2 linked regions of the Canis lupus familiaris genome follow. The protein of the gene in region 1 purifies or fractionates together with the protein of each later gene. This does not show direct contact. Links are inferred from orthologs where the notes say so. Each region holds a gene or a part of one and is shown on either strand. Other genes may lie near its edges. The genes, in order: CSTF3 and CSTF2T.

Evidence for each region.
Region 2: the proteins of CSTF3 (region 1) and CSTF2T purify together in Homo sapiens (co-immunoprecipitation; 4 studies listed by BioGRID and IntAct, counting the BioPlex papers as one, with this or other methods). This does not show direct contact. The link is inferred for Canis lupus familiaris from reciprocal best matches to the Homo sapiens genes CSTF3 and CSTF2T.

The regions. Positions count from the first base shown.
Region 1 is NC_049239.1:34,891,151-34,895,519, forward strand, and holds the start of CSTF3 (cleavage stimulation factor subunit 3), read left to right. Parts: upstream 1-1,357; 5' UTR 1,358-1,553; coding exon 1,554-1,580; intron 1,581-4,369. UniProt on the Homo sapiens protein: One of the multiple factors required for polyadenylation and 3'-end cleavage of mammalian pre-mRNAs.
Region 2 is NC_049247.1:36,526,976-36,531,382, reverse strand, and holds CSTF2T (cleavage stimulation factor subunit 2 tau variant), read right to left. Parts: upstream 2,853-4,407; 5' UTR 2,782-2,852; coding exon 883-2,781; 3' UTR 426-882; downstream 1-425. UniProt on the Homo sapiens protein: May play a significant role in AAUAAA-independent mRNA polyadenylation in germ cells. Directly involved in the binding to pre-mRNAs.

The sequences.
Region 1 (4,369 bases):
CTTTGTGTTAATAAACATCTTTCGTTCAAGCGTCTGATTACTTGGAAGGGTAAGAATTCAGGCTGTGGAAAGGGTGGTGTGGAAATAGGAGCAGAGGCACGGAGAGACGAGAAGAATAAGGCGTGCGTGGTGAAAGCCGAAGTTTACTTTTGGATACGTGGGCCTCCATCAGCGAGGAGGAGGAGAGGGGACAGCGTAGGATGATCTTTTTTTTTTTTTTTTTTAAGATTTTATTTATTTATAGACAGAGAGAGAGAGAGAGAGAGAGAGGCAGAGACACAGGCAGAGGGAGAAGCAGGCCCCATGCAGGGAGCCCGATGCAGGACTCGACCCCAGGTCTCCAGGATCACGCCCTGGGCCAAAGGCAGGCGCCAAACCTCTGCGCCACCCAGGGATCCCCCCAGGATGATCTTTAATTGGAAATTAGTTTGAGAAGAGACCTGTTCTCCCCTAATCTTGGGCTATGGCCAGAGCAGCTCTGAGCACTTTCACGTGTCCACCTTATTTAAATTGCAGATACTACTGTTGTTACTCGTATCTATAGGCAAGGAAACTGAGGCACAAGTTGCCCAAGGTTACCAATCCAATGAGAGAGGAAGCCAGGGTTTGAAGGAATGGGAGTCTGGCTGCGGGGCCTGAGCGCTATTATCTCCACTTTGCATACGAGGAATCACCGTAAGATGCTGAGCTTAATTCCCGGGGCCTTACTGACGTCAAAACTTTAGACAATTGCACATATGTTTGGATATTTGCATGTGTGCAAATATACACATCGAGTAGTGAAGTTTCTTATAATAAACAGTGCTTTAAACTTTGAAATAAAGATGAATGAATCCATAAAAAAAAACAACAACAAACTTTAGACAAAATAGGAGATAGTGACCGTGTAAGATGGATGAGAGCATCCCTAACAAGCACAGAAAGCATTAGTTCAGATGGTAGGAAAACCTCGATATGTCTCTTACGTTCAAAATATAGAAGGCAAAAAACAAAAACAAAAACAACAAAACAAAACAAAACAAAACAAAATATAGAAGGCTTCTAAACTTAGCATCGCTCCCTAAGATGGCCAGTTGGCCCTGAACTACACTGATTGGCAGTCAGGCTTCAACAGTGAAAAAACCCAGGTTCCACAGCGTGGTAATTAAGTTCCAAAAGGCGCGCGAGCCTGCAGGGTAAACAGTTTCCCGCCTCCCAGCCGGTTGCAGCCAGCTCAGCAACAGCGCCGGGAGCCCGGCGTCGTGACGTCAGCGCAGACCCTACGCCCACCTCGGCGTTCCTCCCCGCATCCGCGCGGCCGAGCAAACCGGCGCGTCGGGACCTTAGCTCCGCCCATCGCCCCGGAAGTTAATGCCGAAGCCACACCCCTCTCCTCGTCCGGCAGGGGCGCAGCCATTTTAATTCATATCTGAGTGGGCGGTGGCGATTCGCGTTGGCTGTCTGGCTCCGCCGGGCCGGGGGTAACTTTACTGGTTTGGGGTGGTTTTTAGTTTAATTTTTCTTTTCTAGCTTCGCATCGCGGGCCAGCTCTCCCTTTCTAGTCAGCTGAGGCCATGTCAGGAGACGGAGCCCCGGAGCAGGTGAGGAAAGAGAGTGGTGGGGCCTCGTGGCGACCTCTTCTCTCCACGTCTGTGTCGGTCCGGGTGCTCCAGCCATGTTCGCCTGAGGAGGGAATTGGGGTCTGAGGAACCCGGAGGACGGGGTTCAGCGGAAATGGTGGGAACCGGGGAGCGAGAGCTGACGGAGACGTGAAATTCTTGTTTTGGCTTCTCTGAGGCGTTAACGCGAACACTTGCTTTAGACAATAGGAAGCTGCTTCGTCCTGTTTAGGTTTATGGGACTACTCCTGGGGGATTCCTTCCTTTAATAACCATTTTTGTTTTGGCATTAGGGTGGTTGAGGATCGATTACTTTGAACGTGTGGCCTCTGTTTTCGAAAAAAACTTGACGGTGTTTCCTCTGCCCCCGCCCCCCCCCCTTCCGATATGCCCCCAGAGAGGTGACCAGTTTTGCGAAATAACGTGAGGTGAAACTCGTCTGGAGAAATGGTCTCTTCGCCAGAGCGAATGAAGCCGGAAGCAGTGTAGGAAAAAAAAAAAAAAGCGTGGTTAATGCTGAGATTTGGGGATTGTGTAGCTTTCTCCTGATACCTTCTTTTTTTTTTTTTCCCTCTCCCCCTGTCCGCATTTTCATTTTCGTTTTTCAAGCGATCCAAATGTTGCAGCATTTGATAAATCGGAAAACGAGAGGTCCTTTTTTTTTTTTTTTTTTTTGCCCCTTCAAATAAAAACGTCTCCTTTAGTACTGGACGTAAATGATCTACAAGCATTTTTAAAATTCAGGTACTTAGCGAAACGATTGAGGGTGTTTGGCTCTTTATTCAGAATTTTGTAGAGTAGTATTTTTGCCTCTTAGTTTGAAGGAGGAAACTGCTACTTCATGAAAGATGTCAGTCAGTTTGCTTTTCGATTTAAGTCCTGGAATGTTTAGGTAAATAGTTTTTTAAAATGGAGGCCCGCTAGCCTGCAGAGTCTCAATTTCCTGAAATTCCCTGTTGCCACGGTAACGAACTACACTTAGGTTTTTGTTTTTTAAGTCCCCAGCTTAGAAGGTAGAGGCTGTTCTTGGAGGTTGACAGAGGCCAAAGTTGCAGTTCCTCTTGAGTAGTCTGGGGACTGTAAATGTCACGTCGGGAGAGCTTGCTAAATTGAATTTTGTGTTTGCTCGTTGACTGAAACCTTGTTAACATTTTACATGGTTGTCTCGATGCCCAGGAAAGCAAAATCTCCAGTCTCAAAACCATAATATCACATCTGCTTATGTATACCTATGGTTATTCTGAGATGTATACCTAATTTTGTCACTTGAAACTTGAGGAGTAACGTCCTAAGGTTTCATTGAAAGTTTCCAGAACTTTTTGTTAGTTCCAAAATTTTTCTTAAATTATAAGGACACTGAAATGAAATGTCATGACTTTGAATATTTCCGAACTCTCTTGTTTTGAATGAAAGGGGATGGTGGTGAAAATTTACATGAAAAAAAGAAATTAAAAGTTTTACCGTGCAAAGGAAACTTAGTACGTGAGAAAAGTTAAAAGTGAGATGAATGCCTGCAATACAGTTCTTAACCTATAATCAATAACTGTTAACTGTTTTTCCAAACTTGTTTTATCTCTGCTTGCATATTTATTTGAAAGTAAGTCGAGACATATTTCAGGCCCTTATATTTCATCATTCTTTTACTTAAGGACATTGATGCAGTTATATAACCATACCATTTTCTCACCTAAAAAAATTAATAGTTTAACCTATCATTTCTAAAGCCTGGTTCCTGTTCACATTTCCCTAGTTGTCCCAAGAATATGATTCATAGGGTTTTTCTCTCTCTTTTTCTTTTCTCTTATCAGAATCTAATCTGGGTTTACATGCCCCATTAGTTTTGTCTCTTGAATAGTTCTCCTTCCCCCCCTTTTCCCAGGGACTTGTCTGCAGAATCCAAGACAATTTTCTAATAAAACTTATTTTCTGGGTTGATTTGATTTTTGTGTATGTGGTATCATTTAACTCGTCCCTTCATCTTTTGTTATTTCCTGAAAACTTTGTGGTTGGTTAGGTCTAAACTGAGAGCTTTGATAATATTTGAGTTAAATATTTTTGGGTAGAATGGTATAATGTTACATGGAAAGGCACTTCATGCTAGGTTGTTCCACTATTAATGGTGGTTAAGTTCGATTATTTGGGCAGGGAGATGATTGCTGGGTTTCTTCATTGTGAAGGATTATTTTCTCTGCAGTTAGTAATCTGTGGATTGACTTTGTATTCCTCAGTAGCTTTTTAAAACTAGTTATGTGTCAATTGAATCACTTATTACTTTGGAGGTGGCAAATGGTGATGTTAAAAATTCTATTCTGTCTTTACTGACTCGCTCATGTTTTTCTGTAAAGAATTTTTTTCCTTTCTCCTTTTTTTTCCAATATTCTTTTTGTAAAGATTTTATTTATTCATGAGAGACACGGAGCGAGAGAGGCAGAGACACAGGCAGAGGGAGGGAAAAGGCTCCCTGCAGGGAGCTTGATCCGGGGACTCCAGGATCACCCCCTGAGCTGACGGCAGCGCTAAACCGCTGAGCCACCCAGGGATCCCTCTTTTCTCCTTTTAAAAAATTATTTATTTTCAAACATTTTATTTATTTGAGAGAGCACAAGCAGGGAGGAGAGGGAGAAGCAGACTCTGCTAAGCAGGGAAGGTTGACATGAGGCTTGATCTAGGATTCTGAAATCATGACCTGAGTGAAAGGCAGACCATTAACTGACTGAGCCACCAGGCACCCCCTTAACCCCCCTATTTTTTTTAAGATTTTTTTTTAAATT
Region 2 (4,407 bases), on another chromosome or scaffold:
GATTCACATCAGGACTTAAGGATTACTGAGACGCAGGAAGGTACTGAGAGAGCGGCCTTCGGGACCCTGGCCCGTCCTAGGGCCGTCCCAGCAGAACCGTCAGGCTCAAGGCCAGGCCGGAATACTGCTGCTCTCTGGACGGCGGGATACACGCAACGTCACACCACATGCACTCCTGGATTTTTCAGGTAGCACAGCTTTAAAAACAAACAAACAAAAAACAAAAAAACAAACTAAAAAAAAAAAACAAAAATAAAAACAAAACCCACCATCCAGTTCTAATACCACAAGTTGAGACTTAACCTGTTAGCACCAACATTTTTAAATAATTCCACTAAAACGATGCTTAACCTAATACAACCATCTCCTGTCCCCAAAATAGCATTTGCTATTTCAAACGGCTTACCAAAAAAAAATGTATCTGATAACTTTGAGGTAAACGTCTTTATTTTCTTACACAACCAAAAATCGTAAACTGTTTTAGCACGTTACCATTTTAACAGGTCAATAGTTTAGTCCTTATGTGCAGTTTTCACATTGTTTTACTCGGTATTCAAAAAATGTAGTTTAACATATTGTAGACACTCTCAGTATTGCTGCGTTCTTTGTCATCTTACTCCGTGTAGTATAACCACGTTCAGAGTTATTCTTGTGTATATACAGTGAGTAAAAGTGAACAGACCCAATCCTGCCTCCCCCTGCGCCCCCCCCCCCCCCGCTCCCATTAAAAAGGAAAACAAAAGGAAAATAAAAAGACAAGATGAAATCAGGAAGGGAAACCCTAATCACTGGAGCGTGGGGATGCAGACGTTGGCTTTCTGCATCCACCCTCCATGCTACAGGAAAACTCGGAGACCACTGCCGGTTATCTCCCGACACCGCTCAAGAAGCCCCAGTAGACTTCTGAATCTGTTCCTTTAAGATCAGGATGCTCTGCCTCTGCTCGGGGGGCAGCATGGCAATCTGATCTGCAGTCAGCTGAAGAACCTGCATGATCAGAGCTGCCTTTTCCTGATCCTGTGGAGTTACCTGGCTCTGCCCAGGACTGAAACTGCTAGGCTGGCCTCCACCTTGCTTGCCTGCCCCCTGCATGCCCACTGCTTGCATGCCTGCCCCCTGCATGCCTCCTCCTTGCATGCCTGCCCCCTGTATGCCCCCTCCTTGCATGCCTGCCCCCTGCATGCCTCCTCCTTGCATGCCTGCCCCCTGCATGCCCCCTCCTTGCATGCCTGCTCCCTGCATGCCCCCTCCTTGCATGCCTGCCCCCTGCATGCCCCCTCCTTGCATGCCCGCCCCCTGCATGCCAGCTCCAGGATTTCCCACCCCTGAAATGCCCGACACCTGTCTGGGCCCCTGAGGACCACCCGCCCCCATGTTAATGGGCCCGGGCCCCTGGATTCCCCCAGTCATTGGGCCTCTGGAACCGGGGCCGGGGCCGGGGCCCCGCATCTCCATCCCTCTCGCGTCCATGCCTCTGGCTTCCATCGCACAGGTCTCCATCCCTCTTCTCTCCAGCACTCTGGTCTCTAGGACTTCCGTCTCCATCCCTCGAGAATCTCTGCTCCCTCTGCCATCCATGGGGAGCCCCCTCTGATCCATCATGGGCCCCCGGGGCTCTCCCATCAGCAGTCTGGGGTCGGCGAGGGGCCCGCCCCGCAGGTCGTGCGAGTCTCTGGCGTGGCCGGACGCGTGGTGCAGGGGCGGGCCCAGGTAGCCTCGGGGCTCCACCTCCCCGGTGACCGAGAGCAGGGTCCCCCCGCGGGGGTCGTTCGGGGCGTCCCCCAGCAGCCCCCGAGGAGGGAGGCCCCCCGCGGCCATGGGCCCCCGCGGCAGGGGCGCCCTGGGGTCGGCCATCTGCACCTGGCCGCGCTCCAGGGGCCCCACGCCGGGCATCCCCACCTGCGGCTGCATGCCGCCCGCGGCGGGGAGCGCGGCGGGCCCGGGGCCCGGCCCCGCGGCGGGCAGGGGGCCCGGCGCCGGCATGCCGGCCTGGATCGGGGTCTGCATCAGCGGGGGGATGTCCTTCACGGGCCTCCGCGCCAGGTGCGGCGGCTGCGGGGCGGCGGGGCTCTGCTGGGCCAGCAGGACGGCCGGGGCGGCGGGGCCGGGGCCGGGGCCGGGGCCGGGGCCGAGACCGGGGCCGGGGCCGGGGCCGGGGCCGGGCTGCGCCTTGCCGGGCAGCAGCGGCGTCACGTGGACCTTGCGGTGCAGGATCCTGAGCGCCAGGTCGGGGTCCATGATGCGCATGACCACCTGCGCCTGCAGCAGCGCGTAGGCCAGCTGCGGGTTCTGCAGCAGCATGCTGCGCGCTTCCTGGTGGCTGTTCTGCACGCACAGCTTCATCTGCTTCATGAGCTCGAACATCTGCTCGGGCGGCAGGCTGGCCACGGCGCGCGTGATGGACTCGGGCGCGTCCTCGGGGTCGATGGGGTCGCCGTAGGGCGAGTCCACGACGGGCGCGGCGGGGCCCAGGCTCTTGAGCTCCTCCTTGTTCTTCTCGCTCGCGGCGTTGTCCACGCGCAGCGCGCGGCCGCTGAACTCGCGCCCGTTGAGGTTGCGCATCGCGCTCAGCGCCGTCTCCTGGTCCTGGTACTCGCAGAAGCCGTAGCCCTTGGGCTTGCCCGTCTCGCGGTCGTACACCAGCCGGAAGCTCACCACCGAGCCCACCTCCGAGAAGATGTCCTTCAGCTGCTCCTCCGTCGCCTCGTACGGGATGTTCCCCACGAACACGGAGCGCAGCGACCGGTCCATGGCCGGGTCCCGCACCGCCAGGCTCGACATGGCTCCCGGCGGCCCGGCGCGGCGCGGCGCGGCGGTGGCCGGCGCTCGTCCTCCTCCTCGGCGGCCTCGCTTCCGCCGAGCAGCGGAAGCCGACGGCCGGCGTCCGCCCGGAAACCGCCGAGGCGCGGCCCGATCGTTCCGCCCGCCCCCGCGAGTGCGTCCGCCGGTGCGCTCCGACGCGCGCCTTTCGCGAGGAGGCTTCCCACCGCGAGCCGCCGCGGCCGCCCGGAACGGCCCCCGGGGGGGCTGACCGCAGTAAAGATGGCCGCAGCGGCTTCGCCGTGGGCGCCGGGAGCGGACGTCGCCGCGACGTCACGGCGCTCTGGAGGCCGTTTGCCCCGCGGGAGACCGCCCACCGACCGGGGCTTCCCCGCTCCCTCCCCGGGCGTGCGCTCGGTTTGCTGCGGGGCGGACCCCGGCCGCGCCCGCCTCTGGTCGGCCCAGGTCGCGGGCACCCAGTGTGGGCGTCCCACGGGGCCGGGCTTTGCTCCCGCACGCGCGGCGGCTCGCTCTGCAGGACGGGGCTCCCCGACCCGACGGGGCTCCCCGACCCGGGGCTCCCAGAGCTGACGCTGCTCCCCGACCCGGTGCTCCCCGACCTGACGCTGCTCCCCGACCCGGGGTTCCCTGGGCTGACGCTGCTCCCCGACCCTGGCTCCCCAACCTGACGCTGCTCCCCGACCTGACGCTGCTCCCTGACCCGGGGTTCCCTGGGCTGATGCTGCTCCCCGACTTGGTGCTCCCCGAGCTGACGCTGCTCCCCGACCCGACGGGGCTCCCAGACCCGGGGCTCCCAGAGCTGACGCTGCTCCCCGACCCGGGCTCCCCGACCTGACGCTGCTCCCCGACCCCGGGCTCCCCGACCTGACGCTGCTCCCCCGACCCGGTGCTCCCCGACCTGACGCTGCTCCCCGACCCGGGGCTCCCCGACCTGACGCTGCTCCCCCGACCAGGGCTCCCTGGGCTGACGCTGCTCCCCGACCTGACGCTGCTCCCCCGACCCGGGCTCCCCGACCTGACGTTGCTCCCAGACCTGGGGCTCCCAGACCTGACGGTGCCTCCCAACTCGATGGCTCCCCGACCTGATGCTGCTCCCTGACCCGGGGTTCCCTGGGCCGACGGTGCTCCCCAGCTCCGTGCTCCCCTAGCTGGTGATGCTTTCTCACTCGGTGCTCCCTGAGCTGACGCTGCTCCCCGACCCCGGGCTCCCCGACCTGACGCTGCTCCCCGACCCGGGGCTCCCCGACCTGACGCTGCTCCCCGACCCGGGGTTCCCTGGGCTGACGCTGCTCCCCGACCCTGGCTCCCCAACCTGACGCTGCTCCCCGACCTGACGCTGCTCCCTGACCCGGGGTTCCCTGGGCTGATGCTGCTCCCCGACTTGGTGCTCCCCGAGCTGACGCTGCTCCCCGACCCGACGGGGCTCCCAGACCCGGGGCTCCCAGAGCTGACGCTGCTCCCCGACCCGGGCTCCCCGACCTGACGCTGCTCCCCGACCCCGGGCTCCCCGACCTGACGCTGCTCCCCCGACCCGGTGCTCCCCGACCTGACGCTGCTCCCCGACCCGGGGCTCCCCGACCTGACGCTGCTCCCCCGACCAGGGCTCCCTGGGCTGACGCTGCTCCC